7 linked regions of the Daphnia pulex genome follow. The main gene of each other region encodes a partner of the protein of the gene in region 3 in a complex. Links are inferred from orthologs where the notes say so. Each region holds a gene or a part of one and is shown on either strand. Other genes may lie near its edges.

What was found.
Region 1: THO complex subunit 2-like (region 3) and THO complex subunit 6 homolog share a complex: the UniProt entries of both Homo sapiens proteins name them as parts of the transcription/export (TREX) complex. The link is inferred for Daphnia pulex from reciprocal best matches to the Homo sapiens genes THOC2 and THOC6.
Region 2: THO complex subunit 2-like (region 3) and chromatin target of PRMT1 protein-like share a complex: the UniProt entries of both Homo sapiens proteins name them as parts of the transcription/export (TREX) complex. The link is inferred for Daphnia pulex from reciprocal best matches to the Homo sapiens genes THOC2 and CHTOP.
Region 4: THO complex subunit 2-like (region 3) and SAP domain-containing ribonucleoprotein-like share a complex: the UniProt entries of both Homo sapiens proteins name them as parts of the transcription/export (TREX) complex. The link is inferred for Daphnia pulex from reciprocal best matches to the Homo sapiens genes THOC2 and SARNP.
Region 5: THO complex subunit 2-like (region 3) and THO complex subunit 4-like share a complex: the UniProt entries of both Homo sapiens proteins name them as parts of the transcription/export (TREX) complex. The link is inferred for Daphnia pulex from reciprocal best matches to the Homo sapiens genes THOC2 and ALYREF.
Region 6: THO complex subunit 2-like (region 3) and THO complex subunit 7 homolog share a complex: the UniProt entries of both Homo sapiens proteins name them as parts of the transcription/export (TREX) complex. The link is inferred for Daphnia pulex from reciprocal best matches to the Homo sapiens genes THOC2 and THOC7.
Region 7: the proteins of THO complex subunit 2-like (region 3) and THO complex subunit 1-like are in contact, whole or in part, in a cryo-EM structure (PDB 7ZNL), measured with the Homo sapiens proteins. The link is inferred for Daphnia pulex from reciprocal best matches to the Homo sapiens genes THOC2 and THOC1. Residues at the interface, in NP_001075019.1 of Homo sapiens: Leu155, Phe156, Tyr157, Lys158, Gln160, Asn163, Leu164, Leu165, Arg166, Asn169, Glu170, Ala173, Lys174, Ile176, Ala177, Gly180, Gln181, Asn195, Lys197, Ser198, Leu199, Ile200, Gly201, Cys202, Phe203, Asn204, Leu205, Pro207, Asn208, Arg209; in NP_005122.2 of Homo sapiens: Asn134, Arg138, Asn141, Leu144, Arg145, Lys149, Thr153, Cys156, Gly157, Gln160, Leu161, Ala164, Arg165, Phe167, Gln242, Phe245, Arg246, Tyr297, Ala299, Lys300, Phe301, Arg319, His320, Leu323, Gln324, Ile327, Tyr331, Arg373, Phe374, Lys376.

Annotation. Positions count from the first base shown.
Region 1 is NC_060027.1:616,916-620,563, reverse strand, and holds THO complex subunit 6 homolog, read right to left. Parts: upstream 2,435-3,648; 5' UTR 2,059-2,434; coding exon 1,952-2,058; intron 1,884-1,951; coding exon 1,650-1,883; intron 1,580-1,649; coding exon 1,418-1,579; intron 1,351-1,417; coding exon 1,188-1,350; intron 1,117-1,187; coding exon 962-1,116; intron 897-961; coding exon 809-896; intron 748-808; coding exon 661-747; 3' UTR 501-660; downstream 1-500. Other genes in the region: ubiquitin-conjugating enzyme E2 G1-like, read right to left, coding at 182-227; SEC14-like protein 2, read left to right, coding at 3,497-3,544. UniProt on the Homo sapiens protein: Component of the THO subcomplex of the TREX complex which is thought to couple mRNA transcription, processing and nuclear export, and which specifically associates with spliced mRNA and not with unspliced pre-mRNA.
Region 2 is NC_060027.1:3,847,523-3,850,927, reverse strand, and holds chromatin target of PRMT1 protein-like, read left to right. Parts: upstream 1-1,164; 5' UTR 1,165-1,320; coding exon 1,321-1,376; intron 1,377-1,544; coding exon 1,545-1,713; intron 1,714-1,775; coding exon 1,776-2,450; 3' UTR 2,451-2,905; downstream 2,906-3,405. Other genes in the region: tRNA selenocysteine 1-associated protein 1-like, read left to right, coding at 1-120, 188-352, 415-872; protein timeless-like, read right to left, coding at 3,032-3,387. UniProt on the Homo sapiens protein: Plays an important role in the ligand-dependent activation of estrogen receptor target genes. May play a role in the silencing of fetal globin genes.
Region 3 is NC_060017.1:3,792,197-3,796,406, forward strand, and holds the start of THO complex subunit 2-like, read left to right. Parts: upstream 1-1,410; 5' UTR 1,411-1,881; coding exon 1,882-1,943; intron 1,944-2,050; coding exon 2,051-2,121; intron 2,122-2,183; coding exon 2,184-2,275; intron 2,276-2,337; coding exon 2,338-2,697; intron 2,698-2,757; coding exon 2,758-4,185; intron 4,186-4,210. Other genes in the region: uncharacterized protein LOC124205981, read right to left, coding at 1-263, 344-470. UniProt on the Homo sapiens protein: Component of the THO subcomplex of the TREX complex which is thought to couple mRNA transcription, processing and nuclear export, and which specifically associates with spliced mRNA and not with unspliced pre-mRNA.
Region 4 is NC_060024.1:915,590-918,989, reverse strand, and holds SAP domain-containing ribonucleoprotein-like, read left to right. Parts: upstream 1-1,447; 5' UTR 1,448-1,584; coding exon 1,585-1,605; intron 1,606-1,757; coding exon 1,758-1,851; intron 1,852-1,923; coding exon 1,924-1,991; intron 1,992-2,049; coding exon 2,050-2,159; intron 2,160-2,226; coding exon 2,227-2,551; intron 2,552-2,612; coding exon 2,613-2,792; 3' UTR 2,793-2,900; downstream 2,901-3,400. UniProt on the Homo sapiens protein: Binds both single-stranded and double-stranded DNA with higher affinity for the single-stranded form. Specifically binds to scaffold/matrix attachment region DNA. Also binds single-stranded RNA. Enhances RNA unwinding activity of DDX39A.
Region 5 is NC_060025.1:2,695,818-2,699,049, reverse strand, and holds THO complex subunit 4-like, read left to right. Parts: upstream 1-1,245; 5' UTR 1,246-1,453; coding exon 1,454-1,639; intron 1,640-1,800; coding exon 1,801-1,956; intron 1,957-2,015; coding exon 2,016-2,129; intron 2,130-2,193; coding exon 2,194-2,499; 3' UTR 2,500-2,732; downstream 2,733-3,232. Other genes in the region: ribonuclease Z, mitochondrial-like, read right to left, coding at 1-90, 152-377, 446-632, 688-968; uncharacterized protein LOC124203100, read right to left, coding at 2,877-3,046, 3,113-3,232. UniProt on the Homo sapiens protein: Functions as an mRNA export adapter; component of the transcription/export (TREX) complex which is thought to couple mRNA transcription, processing and nuclear export, and specifically associates with spliced mRNA and not with unspliced pre-mRNA.
Region 6 is NC_060023.1:12,053,787-12,056,663, reverse strand, and holds THO complex subunit 7 homolog, read left to right. Parts: upstream 1-1,331; 5' UTR 1,332-1,478; coding exon 1,479-1,488; intron 1,489-1,549; coding exon 1,550-1,670; intron 1,671-1,736; coding exon 1,737-2,163; 3' UTR 2,164-2,377; downstream 2,378-2,877. Other genes in the region: ataxin-7-like protein 1, read right to left, coding at 66-153; transketolase-like, read right to left, coding at 2,398-2,877. UniProt on the Homo sapiens protein: Component of the THO subcomplex of the TREX complex which is thought to couple mRNA transcription, processing and nuclear export, and which specifically associates with spliced mRNA and not with unspliced pre-mRNA.
Region 7 is NC_060026.1:6,262,967-6,266,907, reverse strand, and holds the start of THO complex subunit 1-like, read left to right. Parts: upstream 1-1,141; 5' UTR 1,142-1,257; coding exon 1,258-1,299; intron 1,300-1,379; coding exon 1,380-1,462; intron 1,463-1,523; coding exon 1,524-1,816; intron 1,817-2,018; coding exon 2,019-2,241; intron 2,242-2,300; coding exon 2,301-2,406; intron 2,407-2,472; coding exon 2,473-2,741; intron 2,742-2,804; coding exon 2,805-2,934; intron 2,935-2,997; coding exon 2,998-3,206; intron 3,207-3,261; coding exon 3,262-3,405; intron 3,406-3,479; coding exon 3,480-3,627; intron 3,628-3,941. UniProt on the Homo sapiens protein: Component of the THO subcomplex of the TREX complex which is thought to couple mRNA transcription, processing and nuclear export, and which specifically associates with spliced mRNA and not with unspliced pre-mRNA.

The sequences.
Region 1 (3,648 bases), on a different chromosome or scaffold from region 3:
AAATAAACGAATGTTAAAACAACACTTAAACTCGATAAAAAATTTCAAGTCAAGCATATAACAAACAAGAAAGCCGTCAGCCAACGCCATTGAATGAGTGAAACTGGTGAAACAAATAAAAAGTACAGCGACTCGCACGCTCTTCATCTTACATAACCTGTTCCAAGAACAACTGAATTACCTGCTAGCTGTTTTTTAAGAAGTAATGCTGACTGCAATTCGGACATAATGAAATCAAAACGTAAATTTGTTGAGAGGAACTTGAGAAGTCTTCTCTCAAGTTGAGAAGTCTTTCCAAGCACGTTGCTTGCTTCGTCCTAGCCTTTGACGTTGCCAAATCTCCTTCCTTCCTCTAGAGCTCGCGCGTTGTTGGCCAATCAATTTAATCACGGCCAGGTCACGGACCAATCTCCGTCAATGCCGTCAATGCATGTTTTATAAATTTTAATTTTTTTTAAATTGCACTCCTAAAATAAACATTGATTCAATAAACCCAGAAATAAATTATCACGATGTATTTTCTTGTGAACATTACTCGATATAAAACATCACAATTTGACATTATTAATCTAAAGACATGGCAGATGTCTTTGTTTTTTTTTGTATAATAATTGATGGAAGGGCAAGCGAGATGAAAATGTTCAAATGACGATACATAATTCATGAAAGACAACGAATCACTTGATCTTGTAGTTTAGAACTGGTGCAAATGTCAATGTCTCCACCGGATCCGCCGACGAATAGCAACTAATATAACAATCCAAAGATTATATTTGTTTTTCATTTCATTATCATAATATTTTTTTACTTTATTTGCATCCTTTTTCTGGAGGCAAATACTGTAGACTCTAAGGGGACTTGTAGGCATTTTGACGGTAATATCTCCCGAAAATAAGCTAAAAATAATTGACCCAGCTCACACATTAGTGTCAAGGGGGAAATTTAAATTTTTAAAAATTACCATTGGTATACAAACGGTCCATCTACGCCGACGATTATATTGTCTTCGTGAAACATAACGTTGTTAACACCATGGACGTCTTCTTCGAGTAATACTCTACTCATTGTCAAAGATCGTAAATGATAAAGTCCTAAGTGCGGGCCTCCTCCACACACCTATGATATGCGACAAATAACAACTGTAGTGATTTCTCATCGATTAGATTACTTCCTTAAACAAGACTTACCAACCAATCTTCATTCATAGCAACAGCACCAACCCATTTTCCCAGATGGGGTCGATTCAGTTTAGACTCCAAATGTGGTGTAATTACGTGATTAGGTTTTGATTTTCGAGTATCCCAGATGCATACTGTTCCGTCTTCACTTGCACTTGATAGCTGATTCCCACTATCACACAATAAAAAGTAATTAATGTTTTTATGCAATAACTTGAATTGTAACTACATCTACATACACCAGGGACATTGAGTGAATGAAATCAGTATGACCAGAGAAGGTTTGTTTAACTTTCCCATATTCAAGATCTACATGATGAATATTGTTGTCTCCACAAGCAACAAAAGTTGAGTTTTCACCGTTAATCATGCAATCTACAGTTTCTTTAGTGCCAAAGTCACTATAAAATTACATAAAACCAACAGTTAATTATGATAAATGTAATAATCAGAATATTCTAATATGGTTACGTTGGCAAGCGAAGATCAACTTTCCAGCAAGGTTTCACCTTCTCATCACTATTCTGTGGAAGCACCAATTGATTCCAGCTAAATGCCTCAATACAGTTCTTGCCTCCAACGAGTAAGTTATCATTTAAAGATGTTATAGCTTGCAAAGGTTTGGTACTGACAGAAAAGCATTTCTGTGGTAATGTGAGGCTTTCACGTGGACCCTGTTCATCTTCGGCATACAAACTTTTGATACTAGGAAGAGATACATGTTAATAAAATTTTTTTTTTCAGTAATATTATTTTAAGAATAAATTCAATACTTAAATATGTTGACATTCCCAAAATTGGTTCCAGCAGCTAGAAATTCCTCACAAGGAGATAGGGCTTGAGAGAGGACAGTCACGTAAAACGATTTTATGTTAGGCATATTTTCGCACTTTAATCACTGCTTTAACAGTTTAGTTATTCGTGAAGTCGGAGAATTTGTAACTCAGTAAATTTAACTTTTAATTTGAAAATCAAAACAAGAATATACACCGGCAAAGTTTGATTTTTGTGGCGCTCTGGGTCTCCATGCGGAAGCGTCTGCTACGATATCTACTAATTTGCGGAAATCCGAGAAAGGTTTTTCAGTTTCAGCCATTACCCGGGAAATTCAACTGAGAAATAAGCCAAAAACAAATAGAAATGTGAACTACGACTTGGTTTCATTGGTTCGATGAAGATCTAAACCGATTTAAAGCGCTGTTGAATGATGTTTCAAAAATTTTAACTGTAGTTATTTAATGTGGTCAACTTCAGATTTGAAAAGACCAAAATAATAAGATCAAGGACACTCTCAGATATAATGAATATCATCAATGAGTTGTCATACACTGAACGCAACTTACTTATTCCCATTATTCCCTACACGTCACTTCCCTTGGGCCTTGAATCGAAACCGATATCCCTTCAGCTTTTTGTAGTTTAATCTTATTTGCTTAGATTAACTAGATCTGATTTCCCATGAAATCAGCTATTGGAATCAGACATGATACCGTATCTAGACTTGTGTGAAAACACTCCCCCAAATTTGTTATAGACTTGCCTTTTTGATTATTTTCGAGATGTTGACTTTGACACAGAACAACCAGACCAATTTTAAAAAAGTGAAATGTTTCAAATAAAAAAATATATAATAAAATGTGATAGCCAAGATACGTGTTTTGGTCACACCTGAGACGTAGCGGCGCAGCAGTGTGTTAAGTTTTCTTCAGGAAAACCTTGACTGCAGTTTATATCCCCCCGCGGATCGCATAATTTACGAGTTTATAAACTTGTGGAGTGATTACTGAATAACCTGTAATAATTCAGGCCGCCGTGAATACATAAGGCTGTTATTAACGGGATAAGCCGCCGGGAGCAAAATACAGCGCTAGGGCAACAGCACGTAGTGCATTCAGTAAACATCAGAGGGCCTGCAAGAAGAAATACCAGGAAAGGAAACCTGCTTTCCTCTCTGATAATAATATTGCTAGAATCCAAAAAATCTAATGGCCTTAGCCTACATTCGTTCGCTTGCCTTCTTGATGTGTGAACCACCCAACAGATCGGTCGCATCGCACTGCTATTCTCGTTCAGACTGGGCACTTATAAAGCGAAATCACAGTGGAACAACACGAACTGACGTAGTGGAACTATTAGGTCGAGTTAAAACCCAACAAACAGCCAACACCATGTTTTGACAATTGAAAGTGTCAAAACGATCAAAAAGTTTAACTCTTAACTCGAAAAGTTCCAGTTGAGCCGCGCAATCTAACATACGGATCTCGGGACTTTCTTTCTTTCTACTATTCCGAGAGGAAAATTTCTCTTTTCTCTCGGTCATGGACCTTACACAACTAAGCCCAGAGAAACGAAACTTATTCGACCAGGTATTTAAAATCGTCTTTTTTAATTGTAATAATAGACGAAGGTTAAATTTTCGCCAGTATTGAAATTTCGCCACGCTGAACGCGGATAGTGTATTAATCAAAGA
Region 2 (3,405 bases), on a different chromosome or scaffold from region 3:
ACACTAAAGGTTCTACAGCCGATCATGCACTGTGGGTGGGAGATTTGAGTGCTGATGTAGATGACTATGGCCTTTACAAATGTTTTTCTGCAAAATATAACTCAGTTCAATTGGCAAAGGGTAATTTGTAAAATTTCTGTAATGATTTTATTGGCAATTATCTGAACTTCTCGTATTTTATGTTTAGTGGTCAGAGGCAGCAATGGAGAAAGTCGCGGCTATGCGTTTGTTAATTTTTCTAATGAAAGTGATTACAAAGATGCGCTGACACATATGCAAGGTCACAGAGGACTCGGCAGCAACCCACTTAGAGTTTCATTGGCTATTCCTCGTAATTACAACATGATACCTGGTAAATGCACGCTTAAACTTTTCTTTGGAGTACATTTCATTTCATACTCTTTTAACTTTTAGGATCCTCATCCAGTACATCTTCTACTTCTACGTTAACTGCATCGATTGCTTCGTCAATTGTCCAGGCCGCAGCCAGCGGCCAGCCAGTTCAACCTCAAGCTGCTGCTGCAGCAGCTGGCTACGGACAGTACGTCGATCCAGCCTATTGGCAACAGTACGGTGGCTGGCAAGGATATGGTTACCAAGGCGGATACGGCTATGATGGTCAACAAGCTTATGCCGGATATGGCGTTGCTGGGCAAATGCCTGCTCAACCTGAAGAAGATGAGTTTGAGCTCATAGAACACAATACACCCGTCGATATTGAGAAACTGAACAGAGAACTTTTTGAGCGCAATCAGGATTTGTGGGATGCACTAGATGAAGCTCGCTGGACAACATTCAATCCAGAGAAAGCCGTTCCGGCAGTTAAAGCTGAGGAAAACGGAAGCAGTACTCCTACAGTAGTGGCCGCCTAATTTCTTTTTATAAAACACTATTGACCATCTCATACGATAAAAAAACAAAGATTCATTTCTGCTTGTCATCTGATTTTGTTTTACAGAATGAATACATTGATTTCAAATAAATACAGATTTCCAATTCTTTCACTTTCTGTATTATCTAGTATATTTAATTATTGACATGATTCTACACCCATAAAACATTTCCTCCACCCACATTTTTTAAAACATGCACTCTTACTCAATCGTAAATCACGACATACTTTCTTTTTTCCGCTAGGTGTCACTTTACTACCCAATAGCAGTCGAAAAAAGTTGAGCGTCATTAGTTCACAGCCGGGCAAACATCAGCAATTGTTTTCATTGACTTCACGAGAAACATTTCTAGATAGCTCGAAATTATCTGTTTTCGGCATTTTCTTGACCGTAATTGAACTTTGGTTCAGCAGTATTCTAGCACAAAATGGCTTCAGGAGGCAGAGTACCAAATAATTCAACTTCCTTATCCTTACATGAAAGGTATAAATCATTAGGCAATTTGGGTTTGTTATGTCGTATATGCGATTGAAATAGTTGTTTGCCGCAATTTTCCCCCTGTTAAACATTGAATTTCCTTGCTTTTATAAAGTATGTGTTGATTTTCTTCTCATTTGCTGATTTTTAACGCATGAAAATTTTTCGTTACAGATTCTCCAAATTACGAAGCTCAGCAGGGGGTCAGAAATTGGCTGGAAAACTGCAAGGGGCTAGAAATAATGCAGCTAATCTTCAAAAGGCATCAAGCAAGAATAGCAGACTAGCTCAACAGATGGAAAGACGAAATGCATCAGTCAGTGCTGCTTTGAAACTGAAAAAGGTGCAATTCCTCGTTTTTAATTCATAACCAGATATACTTACATCATTTATACTGTTATTCAGAAAAGCATCAAACAACGCCTTGGAGCCACAGTAAACACCAGTACTCGATTTCGCGGAACGGCCACCCAAACTCAAAGGAGACTCACAACCAATCGTGGAGCTGGTCGCGGGAGTCAGTCGCGAGGATCTCTGCGAGGAAGTCGAACGCAAGGGCAAACGGTCACCCCAACAAAGATAATTCGAGGCCGGGGCGGACTGAAGCCCATTGTCAGCCAAACAATCGTTCGTGGCGGTGGACAAGGAAACAAGAGAAGCACTCGCGGAAGAATCATTTCTCCATCGAAAAAGCCAGCCCCCGTTGCTGCCACAACCAATCGTTCGCCGACCAAACCTTCGCGTGCTAGAGGCAGCGTGAGAGGAAGACGAGGTGGTCGAGGGCAGATGACATCTTCATTGATTACCGGGCAAGCTGAAAGTCGTATCCAGCGTGGAAGAGGAAGAGGACGAGGCCAACGTGGTGGTAAGGGACCCAGTCGTGGAGGAAGCAGCTTGCCGACATCTCCGCGCGGTCAGACATCCGGACGTGGTCGAGGGCGTGGTCGAGGTGGCTCTACCAAGGTCAGCAAAGAAGATTTGGACAAGCAATTGGATCAGTACATGCAAAAGACTCGTAGCGCTCTAGACAATGATATTGAATCCTACATGTCTAAAATTGGGGACGTTGAAATGAATTAAATATGCAATAATCTTTCTCCAGTCGTTACCTCACCTGTGCTGCTCCCCAACTTCAAACGAAAGAACCTTCTTACTAATAACTCCCCTTCGCCAAGTCTTGATTGACTATTAACAATGTTTTAGTCCTTAAAGTTAAAAGTGAATCCAATTCAGAATTTGTCTTTGAGAAAATGGTTGGACTGTTGTGAAGAGTCTAGACAGAAAAAAGAGATTTTGGACAACCTTGTCTTGATTTCATTCTAGCACTTGATTAAATGGTTCTTGTACTTTCCCCCAGTTTTTGGAGTCCCTTTTTGCCGTGTGTTTCTTGCTTTTCCCTCCTGTTACGGCGCACTTAGCACATGTATCTTTTTATAATTCATTCATATTTCATCCGAGGACTTGAGTGTGAAAAGGTGTGCCTGTGAAACGAGAAAGAGAAACTCATCCCAAAAAATACAAATGATTAACCTCAACACTAATTTGATTTTTGTTCCTTCATTTAATCGTCGCTGATCATAGACAAAATTACAACAAATTACTCTAATGATTGGCCAGCAGTAATCAAGCGGGACCGATCGAAGCTAAATTAAATGGATAAGCTACAATTTTCCTACACAACTCAAGTCGAAATCAACTTGCTGATGGGCAACGGAACCCAACGAAAGAGCAACATTGTACAGAGTGTCTGGTGACCATTCGAGTGGGATCCTTGGATAGGTGCCAGCGTTAGGAAGCGAAGGGAAAAGACCCAGTTGACGCAGAAAAAAGCGAAAGGGTTTCGAACTCAATGCGGAGGCTTCCGCTTCCGTCCAAGGGACTATCGGGCATGGCGTATTCAATTTCAAGCTCAAACAGGTAATTGGATGACGGAATTCGTGGTCGGAGTAAATGCCCAAACGTGCTGCACAGGCCGTCAATAAAGACGACTGAATCCAATCGAGTTGTTTCTGAAATCCTATATTTATCGATACAT
Region 3 (4,210 bases):
AGTGTGTGAGGGCTGTGCGGGTCTATTAGGTTGCGGACTATAAGAAGGTACTGGTGGTCTGGCAATCGGATAACCAATCGGTGCCTTTGGTTGGTTGTAGCCCTTGAAGTGTAGACCGGGAGGTGGGCGAGGCGTTGCAAAAGTAGGAAAATAGAGTCGAGGTTCAACCCGTGATGTGCCGTACGTGTTGGACCATCTTCTCTTTAATCGTATCTGGTTTGTTGGATCCAAGGTAGATGTTGAATTTGAATAATTCTGTTGCCCTTGGAAAATGATAAAAATTTGTTTTATTTTATTGCGTCAGCATCGTTTGTGGGTTTAAATTGGGAAAATTCATTCTTACTGCTCGATTGGTTTTCGGAATCGCTGTTTTTCGGATCGACAAAGGCAGCAGCTGATGTCGAAAATAAAATTGCGGCGACGATGAGAAGAGAATTAAGAGGAGACCACTTGGCGGTTCGACACCGCATCTTGAAATCAAACGGGTCACAGAAAATCACCTCCAGTTATAAAGGTTTGCTTGTTGACAGCCATGGCTTCTGGATGTTCGGTTAAATCACCGTTGTTGACACCTTCTTTGGCCTACATTTTTATATCAATTAAATAAAAAAGGAAAGAGGAATTTTGGAAATACTATACATGTAAGGCGTCAAAGATGTCATCAAGGATGTGACGTATTTGCCAGTCATTGCTCTTTGTTTAAAAAAATGGAATATGTGTGTTACATATTTTAAATGTTCTTTTTATTTTTGACGATTCTTATTGTTTGATTTAAGTCCATGTGAATTCGCCCTATCTTATCCTATTTTATGTCTTTTCTACCGTTTCCCCGTTGTAAATGGTGTCACGACACCGGCAACCCAACAGATTCACGCCCTTCCTGTAGATTTCGTCTCTTAGGAAAGCGTGAATCCGTACCTCTTGTACTTATGTACTTTTTCTTTAATGATTTCTATTCTTTCGAGTTATTTATCATAATTATTTGGATATCGATAAAATTTTTTAAATTGAAAAAAAGGCCAAAATTATTGTTAGTTTTGTCGGAGTTATTATAAAAATAAATCGTTGTTACTCTCCGCATTAAAGTCTGTCTTATAATTGAAGATGCCGTTTCTCATTTAGAAGAATTTCTAGAGAAGGACGGGGAGAAAGAGAAAGTCCCAGTATATACGTATACCCATCTGCACGCACAGCTATATAAGCCGAAACGGCAGGAACGAATTTGTACAAATAGTCCTACTCAACCGGAAGCCAATACGGATCTTTACTAAAACCAAGAAATATTTTTATCGCTCACGTGTTGCTCCGCTAGCAGTCACTACCTGCTGGGTCTGTCATCCTTTTACCTGCGACGCTACATCCATTTGGTCCACCTCCAGTTTATCATTGCTAGAAGTAACAGCTTGAAATGTTTGTTCCTAGATGGCGTTAGCAGCAGCCTCTTTTTCCTCTTCCCCCTATAAAACTAAAATCGAAATATCTTCTTTACTGTAACGTTTAAATAATAAGAATATTTTGTGTAATTCGATTCGCCTTTGAAAACTTCATTAAACCGTATGGCTTAAAAATTGTTCTGACAAATAACCCCCCGACAAGCTTACAGGAATAGGAAAAGATCCCGTCTTTAATTAGAGTACTCCGTGCTAAAGTGGTCGGTAGGCTACTCAGTAGACTCCAGCAAGGCTCTAAGCTTGAGTCCATGTTTATGTTGTCACATATGCCACCAAAGAGTCGCTTCCCCGTTTGTTTGGTATTTGTTCGTTGTCGTTTGAATTCGCTTCTGCAATTTTGAATGGCCTAAGGACTTCTAAAGACAGATACTGCGACGTGTGAAGTGGAAATCACCGAATTCGTCAGTTGTTGCTTAATCGAGGGACACAAATGGCGTCGTTAATTTCGCAAGAAGTATGGAAAACGTGGGAATCACATGGACACGTTGAATTGTAAGACTCAACAATTGTTTTATATCACTGACACTACATTCTTTGACTTCAACAATAGTAATAATATGACATAACTAATTTACTCTTTTTATCTGGTAATCTTTTAGTGTGAAACTGCTGGAAAGCTGGATTGGCACCGATAACAATAGTCAACATATTCCTTCAATTGGGAGTAAAGGTTTGTTGTTATTACATTACATTTCCAAGTATTTTATTTATCTTATGTTTTACTGTTTTTAGATTTGTTTCGTGCTATATATGAGTTCTTGTGGCAAGCCATCAAAGGTGGAATAAAAAGAGAACTAGTTTTATCAACCATTGGAGATATTCTGGTATAGATTTTGATCTTAACACTTTTTATTTGTGATTTTGTCAATTAAATATTTGTAAGTAGGTTTTGCATGGTGATCTAGCATCGTTGACACTAGATGTTCTCAATGTTATTGACCATGAAACGTTGGTTAATGAGAATAATGATGAACGTCAAAAGTTGTGCAGCATGCTAAAAGAACTGGAAAACTGGCTAAGTGATTCAATGATTAAGGAACGCTTAGAGATTGACACATTACAAGATTGCAGTTTACTGAAGACAAAGAAGATATTTTACTCCCGTTTCATCAAAGTAAAGACAAAATTATTTTACAAGCAGCAGAAGTTTAATCTTTTACGGGAGGAGAATGAAGGCTATGCAAAACTAATAACTGAACTCAATCAAGAGATTGATGACACCATCACTCCACTCTACATTTTACAAGTAAACATTTGATTAATATTATTCTCTGACCATGTACCAATATTCCCCTCACTTACACAGGTTGTACAGTCTTTAATTGGTTGCTTCAACTTGGATCCGAATCGGGTGTTAGATGTGATTATGGAATCATTTGAATGTCGGCCGCAGCTTCACAGTCGTCTTTTTGTTCCACTGATTCGCTCGTACATGTCAGATTCGTTGACTTTGTGTGAAGTCTTAGGGTTCAAGTTTACTTCATTCGACCCGTCTTCTACACCAAACTCTCTTTTCGTCATCACTGCTCTTTTATTGCAGCATGGAGTCATTCATCTTGAAGATATTTATCGTTGGCTTACGCCTAAAGATAGCGAAATCGACGAATCCGCCGCTAAAGAATTAGCAGACGCAAAAGAGTATGCTCGTCGAATGAATATCATCGCTGTTCCAAAAGAAGACGACAAAATTGAAGAATTGATTGAAGAAAGGGCACCTTATAATCAGAAATTTGGACTGTGTGAAGCTCTTCTTTCAGTGGGAGCTTGGGAACAAGCGTCTACTCTTCTTAAACGTCACCCAGAGTTTTTCGTCACATCTTATCGACCCATCTCGAGCAGTATCTGCAAACTGGTCGACTACGTAATTGAACCGGTGTATCGCACTCGATGCTGCATATCTCCAAAACTTTCGGGCAAACCAGTTTTATCTGTCGGTGTATGGAACTTCCCCAAGACAGCCAAGGAAATGAAGGAGTTGAGAGAAACTGCTTTCCCCATGCTACTCTCTTTGGGACCCCATTTGTATAACGATCCTGTCCTCCTGCACAAGTTAATCCGTTTGTGCAATACTGCGTTAGATGATTGTGGCTTGAACAGTTCAAAGAAATTTCCGCAAGACCTGGATTCGCTGTACTTTGACGTTCTTACACTGTTTGATGTTGTAATATTGCCATCACTCGCCCTCATGGAATCGAATTGCTGTGTAGCAGAAGAAATCTGGAATGTTTTGAAGAAATTGCCTTATGAGCACCGTTATCGTCTGTATGGCCTGTGGAAGAACGACACGTTTCAGAGCCATTCTTTGCTGATCCGCCGCAAAGTAGACTGCGTTAAACGCATCAAGTACATCATGAAGCGTGTGAGCAAGGATAACGTCAAGCCCACGGGTCGAGTGCTTGGCAAGCTTAGTCACAGCTGCCCTGGCTTTCTTTTTGACTACATTTTGTCCCAAATTCAAATCTACGACAACCTGATTGGCCCTGTTGTGGATTCACTCAAGTACCTCACAAACCTATCGTATGATGTTCTTGGTTATTGCGTTTTGGAAGCACTTTCGAACCCAGACAAGGAGCGCACCAACCATGATGGAACTACCATCTCTATGTGGCTGACGGCTCTTTCCGCCTTTTGTGGAGCCATTTACAAGAAATACAACATAGATTTGACTGGACTTCTCCAATACGTTGCCAATCAACTAAAGGCGCAAAAGAGCCTAGATCTTCTTATTCTTCAGGTACTTATATTGATTTAATATAATA
Region 4 (3,400 bases), on a different chromosome or scaffold from region 3:
CTTAAAAAAACAAAAAACAAAACAAAAAAAACTGGAATATCTATTTTGTCTAGTTCTCATCAGTTCAAACGTAAACGTCTCGAAAGATCTATTTTGAAAATACGTGTCTTTTTTTTCTCCTCTGTTTTGTTTCGTTATTATTAATTGCCAAAAAGAAATAGGCCGCCACGCGCGCCTCTCTGATTTGATATATTCGTGTATGTATTTTCAAGTGCTTGTATACCAATCGCTTACAAGTTGATGAATGATGATCGCTGTAGTGTTGCGTGTAACGTGTATTTATCGGGGAAAAAACAAAAACAATTCCCGATAAGCTAAAAAGAGAAAATTTGACGCCATTTCAGAATGGGCTTAAAAATTGGGTCCCAAGAATAGTGAAAAAACATAAGAAAATCATTGGGCATCACTGTATATCCTTTATTACAACAGTATCCCGGGACCAGACAAATCGACTACCGTCGTGCCGTTTAACCCCCCCCCCCCAATCCCTTATTGGAAACGTGTAAAACCATAATTGTCCTCAGCAGTAAATGATATATATAGTTAAGTTGTGCGTGCCTTGAAAAAAGAAAAACAGAAATCGATTGCCTCGCACAAGTTGGATATTGCCACAGCAATTGGTGTTCTCCTTTTACCCACCTTTTACTCCTTGCCGGAATATAGCCACGTTTCTGCGAATTGGTTGTTTGTTTTTGTTTTTTTGTTTTTTTTTGTTAAAAAAGAAAGAAAAAGACGCGAAAAGACCATTGTTTTTTTCTTCCTTTGAGATGTGTCGCTCGCTACGTAAACATTGCCTACTGTCCGAAGCTGAGCGTCGTCGTGAAAGTGCTTTTTGCGCGCACGTATTTTCATGTCAAAGCGAAATACACGGCTTGAGCATTTGTCTCATTCATTATATAACTATTGCAGCTTGAACTGTTTGCTTGTCTTAAAACACGTTACTTTTTGTCACTTTCTTGTTCTTTGAGCGGGAAAAGAATCAAAAATTCAAAATTCACTACGATGTTACGATGAAATTTAAAATCATTGATTTACAATACACACACTAGTTAGTTAAGCCAATCAGTTTTACTTGGTTTATCACAAGATATTTTATGAAGTTTTTATCAAGCTCTTTAAATTAAAAAAAAAAAATTACTTTGACAATGAGTTTGATCATTTGCGATTACAGAAATAACGTAGTTGCAATGTTTTATGCGTAGCCTTTTTGTCCGAGAAACCCATCGCTTAAAATTAATTTCTCACTATTTTTTTTCAAAATCCTACCAGAGTTATCCTACGTGGCTGATTACTTTTTCGAGGGTTTTCTTTCTCATTGTTGGCTAGTAACACACTAACATGGCAACATGACTCGGACAAACTTTTTGCATTGACGATAGGTGACACTACTTTAGTACAGGATGCGCCCGATAGAGATCACTAGTTTAGAAGCCAGCAAAAGCATACGCAATTTCTCCTCTGAAACAATACACTGGCATTCAAAAGTCGAATTACTTTCAAGTTACCGCGTTGCGCGTTCCAATTGTAATTCATTGAAAGTTTGAGACGCCGGTACAGACAAACGTCATCATTATCATCACAATCATGGACATCTCTAAATTAAAAGTAACCCGCTTAACTTTATATTTGAGTGAAACTTGTCAATATTTCCAACTTAGAATCCTGATTGAGTTTGTCAAATCAAATGTCTATTATGTTTTTGAACTAGTGATAGGCCTACTGTGTGCATTTCATCTTGACTGTTGTTTTCATGCTAGGTTGTGGACCTTAAAAAAGAGTTAAAAACACGAGGCCTCAGCACCATTGGCACTAAAAATGAATTGATGGAAAGACTGCAAGATGCTGTGCAAGGTAAACTTTTATCATTTTGATTATTAAACTGTTTCCATGTTTATGTTCAAGCTTTTTTCCGTGGATGTTAAGATGACGATACTGGAGATAATGGCGCCTTAGACAATGATGACCTTTTGGATGAGGAGGCAGTTTTAGCAGTAAGAACATTGGTTTTATACAATGTGATAAACTTATGCAATTTTATTTTTGGTATAGGATGAAGAAGCTATTTTAGAGGAAGGAAATGCAAATTTGATCGCCCAAGAAGATGATGCAGTTCTTTTAACACCTACTGCATTGAGTGCCCCCAAAGTTACAGTTGAAAAGTTAGTTACTCTGTTTGTTTGGAAAATAATTGCCTCAAGATTAATGATGAAATGAATAATATTTCAGGACTGTTCAGGACTCGAAGAATGAAATAGTTTCTCCCCATAAAAAAATCATCTTGAACAGAAAGGTGGTAACTCCTCCATCAGATTCTGGCACAGTTTCACAGGAAAATGACGACCACCTTAAATATGATGCCAATAAAGGTGATGAATCTGACTCAAAGGAAGAAAAGAAGGTGATTAAACTTGGTTCCTTATCTGCCGAAGAAAGAGCCAAACTAAGAGCACAGAAATTTGGTGTTCCTATTCCCGATTCTGTGAAGAAAGCTGTTCGAGCAGAAAGATTTGGCGGTACAAATAGCACAGAATCAAACACATCAAAACCTCAGGTATTTTCGATTGATCAGCTCATCGTTCTTCGTGTTTTCATGTAGTGAATTTTTATTTAAGGTTCCTGATAATGACAAACTTCTGAAAAGGCAAGCTCGCTTTGGCGTCGTTTCTAATTCTAATTCCGAAGTTGATGAGAAGAAACAGAAGCGAGCAGAGAGATTCGGAACTACGAGCACTGCGGTCGGCAGTTCTGACGAACAGAAGCGCAAACGTGCTGAACGTTTCGGACTTGCCTGAAATGTTCGTTTTAAAGTTTATTAATTGACGTACAGTTAAATGAAACAAAGACTTGGTTCGATCACAAAATTTTTAGTTTTTTAAAATTAAATGTGACCTGATTTCTTATCCCGATAAAAAAAAAAATACTAATTTGGTGTATACTTGAAACACATTTTCTCATGGGTCCGAGTTAGGTTGGTCGGCGGAGTTGTTTTGTTTCTAGTTTGTAATTGAAATAACCTGATATGTTGGTGCGCAATTTCACTTGATTTTATAAAGAAAAGAGCAGCATGAAACAAAGAGATGAAATTTAGTGAGGGAGTTCTAGGCTAGTGGCAAGTCGAAGGGAGTAGCGGTTTAGGTTAATGTAGAAAATTCAAGTTGGAAGGGAAATAATCGTGCAAAGGTAATAAGCAACCCGCCACTAATAAAGTGTGGGTTCAAAACCCTCACTATGTAGTGTAGGACGCTTTTTTAGAAATCTGGAAAGAGACAGCATGGTCCTATACCATGAGGGACAGGAACAGTAAGTAAGTCCCCTGTACTACAAAAGCATATTACAACTCAAATGCTGCAATAATAGGCTATAATATTTTTTTCTCTACGCGATTTTACTAGATATTCGG
Region 5 (3,232 bases), on a different chromosome or scaffold from region 3:
AACGGCATACATAAGCTAGAACGGCTTTGGATTTCGGGTTCTCGTCACTTTCATCTTCAACACGAGTCCTTTTAGCAGCTGGAACGTCCTCTAAGAAAATTAATTTTGTTTACATTTCGATTCTAATAATTTGTAACCACTGATAACTCACCAGGATTTCCTTTTTCTCGACAATAATAATTGGTCACATCCTCCTCTTCGATAGGAGAACTAGAAGCTGAACGTGGTAATTTTGCATCATCATTGGGCATAATAGTTACATAATTTAATTTCATGGCAGCATCTTCATAAGATGATGCAGGTGAAGTAGCATCCACATGATTGACTTGTAAATTCTTTAATATGATGAATCTGGAGGCAGCAGTAAATAATTCACCCTATTAAAATTAGATTATGATATTATTGGATCTGCATTAAAATGTGTGCTTAGATGTTATTTGTTTACCAATCCAGGTGGTCCATGGAGTGTGATATTGGGAACACCAACATCTTGAATTGTTAATGAAATTCCAGGTAATCCACCCACATTTTGCCAAGATGTACGGGTGAAGAAAATGTTCTCAACTTTGGACAGCTTAAACTTGTGCTCATGGGCCAAGCGTTGAGATCCTTCTCCGGAATTGAAGAGATAACTAAAAGCAAACAGGAATTAGACTAAAATACTTTTGCTTTAATTTAAAATGTTACCATGATTGATCGGTGAACATATAGAGGGACCGTGGTGCACCACGGACACCAGAACCCAGAACTTGTAATGTTACGGTTCCTGGTGGGTATTTTGTTTTAGTAATCTTCTTTGCCTGTCTTTCTGATTGAAGACGTGCGACATGACTCGTATCTTTCGGCATGTTGGCGAGTAAATTTAACACACGATTTTTATTTTTTATATCGCCGAATACCTTTTGATTAGAATGAAAACTACGTACAGTAACAACTACAACATTTAACAATGCAAATCGCAAATTCATTAGATATTTCTTGATAATCGGGATATTATGGGGCCTAATTAAAATTTACAGGCACTAACTTTTAACTTTAAACACGTGTTGTCATCTAGAGGGTTGAAAAGCAGAATCAAAACACCGGGCTTGGCAACCACGTCGGTTAAAAACTTAATTTGAAACTAAACTGTTTTTTATTTGTAAAATTGAATCAAATAAATTTAAATTTATTATTTGAAAAATAAATCACTTAGAATAAAAGGAGTATTAAATTATTTATGTTTCTTGTTTTTGAAACTGGCAAACGGGCAATATGGGCGCCATTGAGAGTTTGCTTAGGCTCATATTCGTTAACTTGGCATAGAGATTGAGCGTGGCGTCATTGTCGTACCGTCCCTGTCACCATCATCCATTTGTTTCGTTCTTATTGAATCTTTCTTAAACTTGTGTTTCGTTTTTAAATTGATAGTCCTTAATTTTGTCAAGTCCTCCACAAACTTATTGTTATCAAAATGGGCGACAAAGTTGACATGAGCTTGGATGATATCATCAAAACTAGCCGTTCAGCCGGCCGGGGCCGTGGAGGACGCGGCGGTCGTGGTGGCAGTTCTCGTGGAGGCAACCGTAATGCCGGCTCAGGACCCGTTCGTAATCAAAGACAGGGAAATGCTGGGGGTCGTGCTGCACCTTACGCCAAGGTAAATATTTGTTAAGTTATTCTTCTTGTTTTTTTATGTTCTATCAGAAAGTATTGCATAATCCTTGGTTGACTTGTTCGTCTATTTCAAATCCAAGCTAGTCTGTATCTTACAGTCTTCGTGATGCAATAGTGCTGACTCTTTGTGTATGTTATTTTTAGGGCAACCCAGATGGTGACTGGTCTCATGACATGTATGAAGGTGGACCAAGGAAAAGCAATCCCAGGTTGGGTGCTGCACCGAATGCTGCTGGAGGCGGCTCTTCCAAGCTTGTTGTTTCTAACTTAGACTTTGGTGTGTCAGATGCAGACATTAAGGTATAACATATATTGCTTCTCTGTCATGATGAACATGTATTGAATAATTCTATTTATAGGAACTTTTTATGGAATTTGGACCATTGAAACATGCTTCTGTGCATTATGACAGATCAGGCAGATCTCTCGGTACAGCTGATGTTGTGTTTGAGCGCCGTCTTGATGCCGTCAAGGTAAACTTCATGAAACTTGTCAACTGTAGGACACACAGCATCAATATTTGTTTCTTTTCCATAGGCAATGAAACAGTACAACGGAGTCCCATTGGATGGTCGATCAATGGTCATTCAGATGGCTACTTCCGATTTGAACACAATCGCCAACCGACTAACCAGCCCTCGAGCTAACACTAACAACGGGCCGCAACAAAAGAGGACTGGTGCACCAGCTTCCAACAGAGGCCAGAGAGGAGGAGGAGGAGGAGGCCAGCGTGGTCAGCGAGGTGGTGCTGGTGGTGCTCGCCAACGCAATCCCAAACAGCCTGCACCGACAGCAGATGAGCTTGATGCCGAGTTGGAGTCATACAGGAGTGAATTGAAATAACGCAATCGTGTAATGTTCACCAAATTATTTGATTTCTTTGAGTCCACACGTGGTGGATCAGAGGTTGAATCACTGACGCAAACTCCTGATCACCTTTACTTATTCTCCTCACCACCACCACTTTTTCAATAATGTTTTTTCTTTCGTTCTTTTCATACAAATTCAGTGTTTTGAAAGACAAACCTGTCAGACCTGGTTTTAAGACAAAAAAAAATGAAGCTTTCAGCGAAAAACCATTGTTTTTTTATTTGTGATTCCCGAGATGTGTAGAAGCCAAAAGATCTAGTAACGTCCAATTGTATCAAATTGAGTGTATTGGAAAAACTACAAATTTTTTTTTTAACAAAGTCATGTTTATAAAGATTGTGAAGTGCTTATTATGAGCTGCGAAGTGTACGGCGGATTGCTTGACGTAGTTGCTGAGCTACTGCAGCCTCGTTGATGCTGTCGATGATTGGAATTGAACTTCCACGGTAAGGAATTCGTGATGGTTGAGCGAAGGCTGCGGCTTCGCTGTTAAACTTGGTTGGTTTAGAGAATTGGAAACCTGTTTTCGTTACAAATGTTTTGTTACTATTAATTCATAACTATATTTAATTTAATCAGGTATTACTGTGGAGTAGAATTCCGGCTCGGGGGTGAAGTATGAGGTTCATTTCGGCGTTGACTTCTTCCACTGTTGTAATTTCATTAGATGTCTGACCCTGGGACAAATTGGACTCGTGCTGGTCTG
Region 6 (2,877 bases), on a different chromosome or scaffold from region 3:
AAACAATTTTCACAAAATATCCGTTAGCTATCAAGAAAAGACAACTTATAAGGCAATTTACTCACTTAATGGACTATCTCTGCCTAATCTATCAGCCCAAACAGACCAAGGCTGGCCATGAAGACTTGTTGGACTGTCATCGTTGGACGCCATCTTTGTTAACAGAAAATTTTTTCTTAATTTCTCCTCTCCGAGACTCCGTCTTCTTTCCTCACCTGCAACAGCGTTGCAACTATAGTGAAAGCAGCTCGGCAGCTACCACTGCCCTTGATGCCTTGCCTCCTCTAATTACTCTATGGCATTAACACCCATTGGACTATTTCAAAATTACCTTTAATATAGTACTTGTATATTTTTCCTAGAATTAAAAAATGCGTTGCGTTTCTTTGCCACTTGAAGACCTTAATGTGTAAGCGTACTAAAGTTGTTGATTCTATTCGTTGGCAATTTATGAAATTTTATGATGATTTAATGATGAAATTATCTTCTAGCGAAACGTTCTAGCAATAATTTAAATCCTCAATCGTCCGTCTATTTTTTTTTTAATTTTGGCAAAAGATTTTATGCATTGCGGAACTCAAAAAGTACATTTTTCTTTGCGCTAAGTATCTTTTTACAATTTTCACACATGGACTGCAACAAGTATGACTATGAGAACAAGCTGCACATAATCATAATGACATCAACTGATAAACACATATGTGAAAATTCCCCATTGAGGTACCAAATCTCTCTCAACTCAGTTATTTTATATTACCAACCAATCAACCATCTGACATCTTGACAAATACAACCATTAATTGACATGCACCTTTTATACTTACAAATAAATGTTGTTTGTAAGTATCTTGCACCCAAAATTATTTTTTCACTGTCAGTTACACACCTGTTTAAAATGAATCTGTCAATCTTGATCACCAATCTCAATTTTCAGGACAATAAAAACAGGTTTTCCTAGAATGTAAGGCAACAGTTTAATTAAAAAGAAGAGATTGACGTTAATCTGGAAACGAGAAAAACAACACTCCAGATCCAGCATTTCATTGGATTCTTTCCTTGACATCACCTGATTGATTCTAAACCGTTCAATGGTTTCCCAAGTATATTGCTGATCTGCTGGACTAGCTCTCTTTCGGTTTTGCTAATGTTTATACAGGCATGCAAGTTTAACCCTAAACAAAATAGATACCTAATCAATCGGATGATTTTTTAAAAAGCCATGTCTCCTTCCTTTCATTTGAGGGGCGTGTCGTCTGCTGGCGGATTTAAAAAACAAAACAAAAGACGAGCGAACTACGCTTACGGCAGACGAAAATATTTTTTCATTTTTCAGTACTTTCCGGCGTTTCCGCAGCGACATTTCTCCTAGGTTTGTCATCTCATTCTTTCGCCCGGTTTGACATCTCAATATTCTCAAAGCTTTACCAGTTAAATTGTATTATTATTGGTCTTATTTTGATCCCAATCATTATTCACAAATGGGAGATGGTAATTTGACTTGTTAGTAATATTATTTCGGTTAATTTTCATCTTGTACTTCGTTATGTAGAAGAGATCATCCGAAGGAGGCTGTTGTTTGATGGCGAAGGAACTGGTGATGAAAGAAGACTTAATGTATTGCTTAAAGGTTTCCTAGCTTGGTGCAACTCTACAGATAGTGTTGAAGAAACGTAAATTAATCTTTGTATAAAATTCTTCTATACTCTATATGTGATGTATTTTTATTTGTTTTACAGACAAGCATCCTACGCTAGAATGATTGGTCAGATTGCCCAATGTGAATTTGCTGCCACAAAATCCTTGAGGTGCTGTGAAATGAACACTGCAGAACAGCAGCACTATGACGACCTCTACAACCAGATTGAAGAAGGAATTGTGTCAGCTAAAAAAGACATTGAAGCAACCAAGAAGGAGTTGCAAGAAGCAAGACAGATTCGCAGGAATAAAATGGAATATGATGCTTTGGCTGCCATTATTCAAACACAGCCTGATCGAAAGAGCAACCAAGAGAAATTATCCCTATTGCGACAGGAACTGGAAGCTTCAGAATGTGAATGTCAAAAACTGGAGGCCAAATTAGAACAAAGACGCAAACAATTTCACTTACTCATTTCAACTATCCAAGGATTACAGCAACTTCTTAACGATGATGAAGCATCCTAATAATTGTTCATTTTGTATGCATCCCTTTTTTCTATTTTTGAATAATAATGCTAACAAATAAAAATCATTTGAAACACCAAAAAAGCTATGTATGAATAAACTATCCAAACGGTACATATACGACTTGGAATGCCATAGAAGAATGTTTCAAAAAACACCACCAATTCTTCTCAACTATCCATAGACCTCTGGTAAGGAATGGGTATAGGAATGAGTGACTTAAAAAAAGGGCGTTTACAACGCAACAAGTTTTTTCGCGGCTTCGGCAATAGCCTTGGCGCCGATTCCAAAATGTTCTAGGAGAACCTCTGGAGGACCGGAGCGGGGAACTTCGCGAACTGCCAAAATCTTGACGATAATATTTCGTTGTTCGGCTAGAGTTGAAGCAACAGCCTCACCCAATCCACCTTCTGGGTAATGGTCTTCAACGGTCAAAACCCGGCCGTTGCAACGAGTGGCTTCCTTCAACAGCAAATCGTGATCAATGGGTTTGATGGTAAATGGATCGATGACAGCAGCCTTGATGCCGGCTTCCATCAGCATGTCGGACGCCTTCAGCGCTTCGTGGAGTGTAACGCCGGCGCCAACGATAACCAAATCGTCTTGATCGTGACTACGAACAACGTGACCCTTTCCAGCAGAGAAAACTTGTTCGTTCTCGTAGATGACGGCTGTGTTGGGGCGAGATGTACGAATGAAGCAAATTCCTTTGGT
Region 7 (3,941 bases), on a different chromosome or scaffold from region 3:
CAATTGTTACTAGCCAATGCAGAGAGTAAATAACCCAAGATAATTACATTAAAGGCTTGACAAAGAGTTATTGTAGCCAGCAAATAAAAAACAAATCGACAAAGTTTTTGGCAATCATCCTTCTTCTATTCGTTCACAGGGACGATTTGAACAGAGAAAACAACTTCTTCTCATTAAAGGCTCTCAAAGCGATCGCCATCTACATGTTTAATTACAATAGAATAAGGCCTAAGGATTCGCGTTTCTTGCTTCAGCTTACGTGCCGCGTCATCTTTCGTTGATGACGTCCTGCAGTCCAAATGACACAGATAAATTGGTTTGAAATAAGTAAAATTTTATATCTTTTATCTGGTGTTTTATAATGCTACTAATAATTTCCTTTTAATTTATTCTTATTTGAGATGATCAAAGGCGAAATAGGATTTTAAAAAGTGCCACAAACGGCGGTTCCCTGCAGTAAAGAATCGATATCTCTAATCCTCTATGCCTTTTCCTGGTGCACTTCAGGAAGTAGACATAAAATCAGAGCTCGTAAGCAAACAGAGGTAGTTCAAATATAGAGACTAGAACAAGGTTATGAAATCTCGGTAGATAGTGCAGTCGATACTGTAGTTGTAATATGGCAGGCAATACCTGCCGATTTTCATAGGAAATCAAATGATAAAAGTAATACGAATGGAAGTTGAAAACATTCGAGTATTTGAATGCGCTTAAATATTGTTTAGTAGTGAAATGAGTAGCATTGGAATGCTATTGAAAATATTGAGTTCAAAAAGGCTACTTATTGTCGATTACATTAAACATGAGAAATGTCTTAAAATTAGGTAGTTTTTATATGGGAATTTTATCTTTATTAAACTCGGTGCAGTCCCGCGTTAGATGATTTTTCAAAAAAGGACTCTCTTTTGTAGAACACCATTTTTATTGATCCGTCGACTCGCCATCTAGGGGATGATAATCGAGTAACATTTTTGTATGAAAACGTCAAAACGGTAATCTCAGTCAAAACATATTCTTTGAACAGATAAATTATTTGATTATCACCGATTACTTATTAGTTAAACTTGAATGGTTTGACATTTACTTCTTTCCAGAATTTCCGCTTTCCGGGATTCGGAAAAAAAAATCAAGTTGATTTTAGAATGGCAACATTGCAATTTACAAACTTGGCAACGCAACCAAGTTTTGAAGCGTCGTCTGATCGTTTCGAAAACACGACTATTTTTATGTTTCTTACTTTGTAAAAAAACCACTGAAATGGAAATATTTGATTTTGAGAAAACTCGGTGTTCGTTTCTGGTACAGTAAAAAAATCTATCAATGAGCCATATTTGAAATAAATTGAAAAATCTTATGTCTTCTGTGTTTGGTTTCTGTAGGATTCCATTTCTGAAGCTCTTAAACTGGGTGGTCCACCCACTATCAGTGAATTACTTTCAGTTAACAATACAGCTCATCTTGGGTAAATTTAATCAAAGCAGAAAGTATTTACATATTATTGTAATTAAACATATTTATTGTAGGGAAGCTGATAAAAAAGCTGTATGGGATCAGGCGTTTAGAGACAGATTTTTGAGTGATTCCTCAAACTTTTCCATACCATTGTTTGAAAAGTTGTTGCAGTTGAGTCTGGATTGTGCAGTAGCTCTAGTATGTTCTCCAACACTGCCTGTGATTTTGCTCACAGATGCTTTTGACATCCTGTCTCTGGAAAAATGTGAGGAAATTTTCTACATGGTTGAAATGAAAGTAGCGATTTGGAAACAAGAGCTTTTCTTCAATCAGTGTAAAAATACCTTACTTCGCCTTTGCAATGGTATGTAAAGACATTTTTCCAAAATTCTAATAATGTATGACACAAATATTTATGTAACTGGATGCATCTAATTCTGTATTGATATGAATTCAATCCATTACTCTTATTTCAATGTATACCACTCTGCTAAATTCATTTACAGTGTTTCGCTTTATGTGAGTTGTGTTGCTGAAATGAATTTTATATGTATATTTTTTTTCAGATCTGCTGAGGCGCTTGTCCCGAAGCCAGAACACGGTTTTCTGTGGTCGAATTCTTCTATTTCTTGCAAAATTTTTCCCATTCTCTGAACGATCCGGACTTAACGTAGTAAGCGAATTTAATTTGGATAATTTGACGACATTTGGAGCTAAAGATGAAAGCTACGCTGCTGATATATCTGCTAATTCTGAAAAGCACAAGGATGCAATGGAAGTAGAAGAAAGGTATATATATTTGATTGACAAGTTATTGCAATATTTTTCTAAATTTTCTTGTTTTGTAGTTTGAGCTCCGACTACAATCTGTACAAAAAATTTTGGTCCCTACAAGATTTCTTTCGAAACCCTAATCAGTGCTATACGAAAATCCCGTGGAAAACGTTTTGTTTGGTAGCTAAAACATCAAGTATTTCAAGTTAAAATTTTCCATCTAACAGAAAAACAATTATTCTTTAGCATACTAGTGATGTTTTGTCTGCATTTTCTACTATCAAACTGGATGAGCGGAGAAACCGCTCTAAATGGGATGAGGCAGATGTGGCATTAAACATCGATATGAATGAAACCAGCATGAATGGTGGAAATGTCCAACAATATTTCGCCAAATATTTGACGAGTCAAAATCTTCTCGAACTTCAGCTCGGTGACTCCAACTTCAGACGTTACATTCTGCTGCAGTTTCTGATTATGTTCCAATATCTGGATTCACCTGTCAAGTTTAAACAGTTAGTTTCAATAAGTTTCATTAGTTAGACTATTTCAACCGCTTGAATTGCTTCTATTTATAGCGAAACTCACAAGCTCAACGAAGAACAAACTACGTGGGTTTCCGAGGCTATCGATCAAGTCTATCGGTTATTGAAAGATACACCTCCAGATGGCGCTTCTTTCGTCCAATCTATTCGACACATACTAAAGGTATACTGAGTTGTATAAAAGTAGTTTTAAAAAATATCATCCATCGGTGTTTGTTGGATGTAGCGGGAAGAATTATGGAGCAACTGGAAGAACGATGGCTGCCCGGAATTCCGGCCCAGCATAACCAGCTCAACCACTGATAATGATACTATAAAAGATGGTACCAATGGAGAAAAAAAGACGATCGTAGTTGGCCGACCAAGACGGCTCAAAAGAAGTCTTGGAGATCAGATTCGAGAAGCTTCAAAAAGAAATAAGTGCATTATTGGAAAGTAGGTAAATTATGAAATTATTTGAAAACATTGAATTACAGCTTTTTCTCTTTAGCGCTGAGATGAATCGTTTGTGGAATCTATGTCCTGATAACATGGCTGCCTGTCGATCTAAAGATCGAGATTTTCTACCTACATTAGAAAACTATTTTGAGGAAGCCATTGAGCAACTGGATCCTTCAGTGGAAAGCCAGTACAAGTAAAAATTTGCACTTTAAAGCTTACATTTTTCCGAAAATGTTTTAACTGAATGAGCGATTTTCGTGTTTCCAGGCGAGTTAGTGAGGCTAATTTTGGGTGGCGTGCTTTGCGGCTTTTGGCTAGACGAAGTTTACATTTCTTCACTCATGGTAATACTCCTATCACTCGGCTGCCAGATTACTTGGAAACGCACGTTCGCAAACTGGCCAAGGACATGCAGGTAGAGTAAAATCAGATGAATATCACGGTTCCCATTCTGCAATACAGGGAAAAGTCAGGGATTTAGGTTCTCATTTGGGAATATATATATATATTTTTTTTTAATATTTTGAGGTATTTTGAATTTTGTTATCGAGACTCATAACTTTTGCACGGGTTTTGCTGTTAAACAAAGATTTTGAAATAGTTGATCCAGAAGAAATACAGACGAGTTTGTTAGGTGTCAGGTAATTTTTCACATTCATTTGTCTGGAAATCCCTGGATAATCTTGATATATTACTGGTTTTGTAGTTGGCTTATTCAAATAATATGAT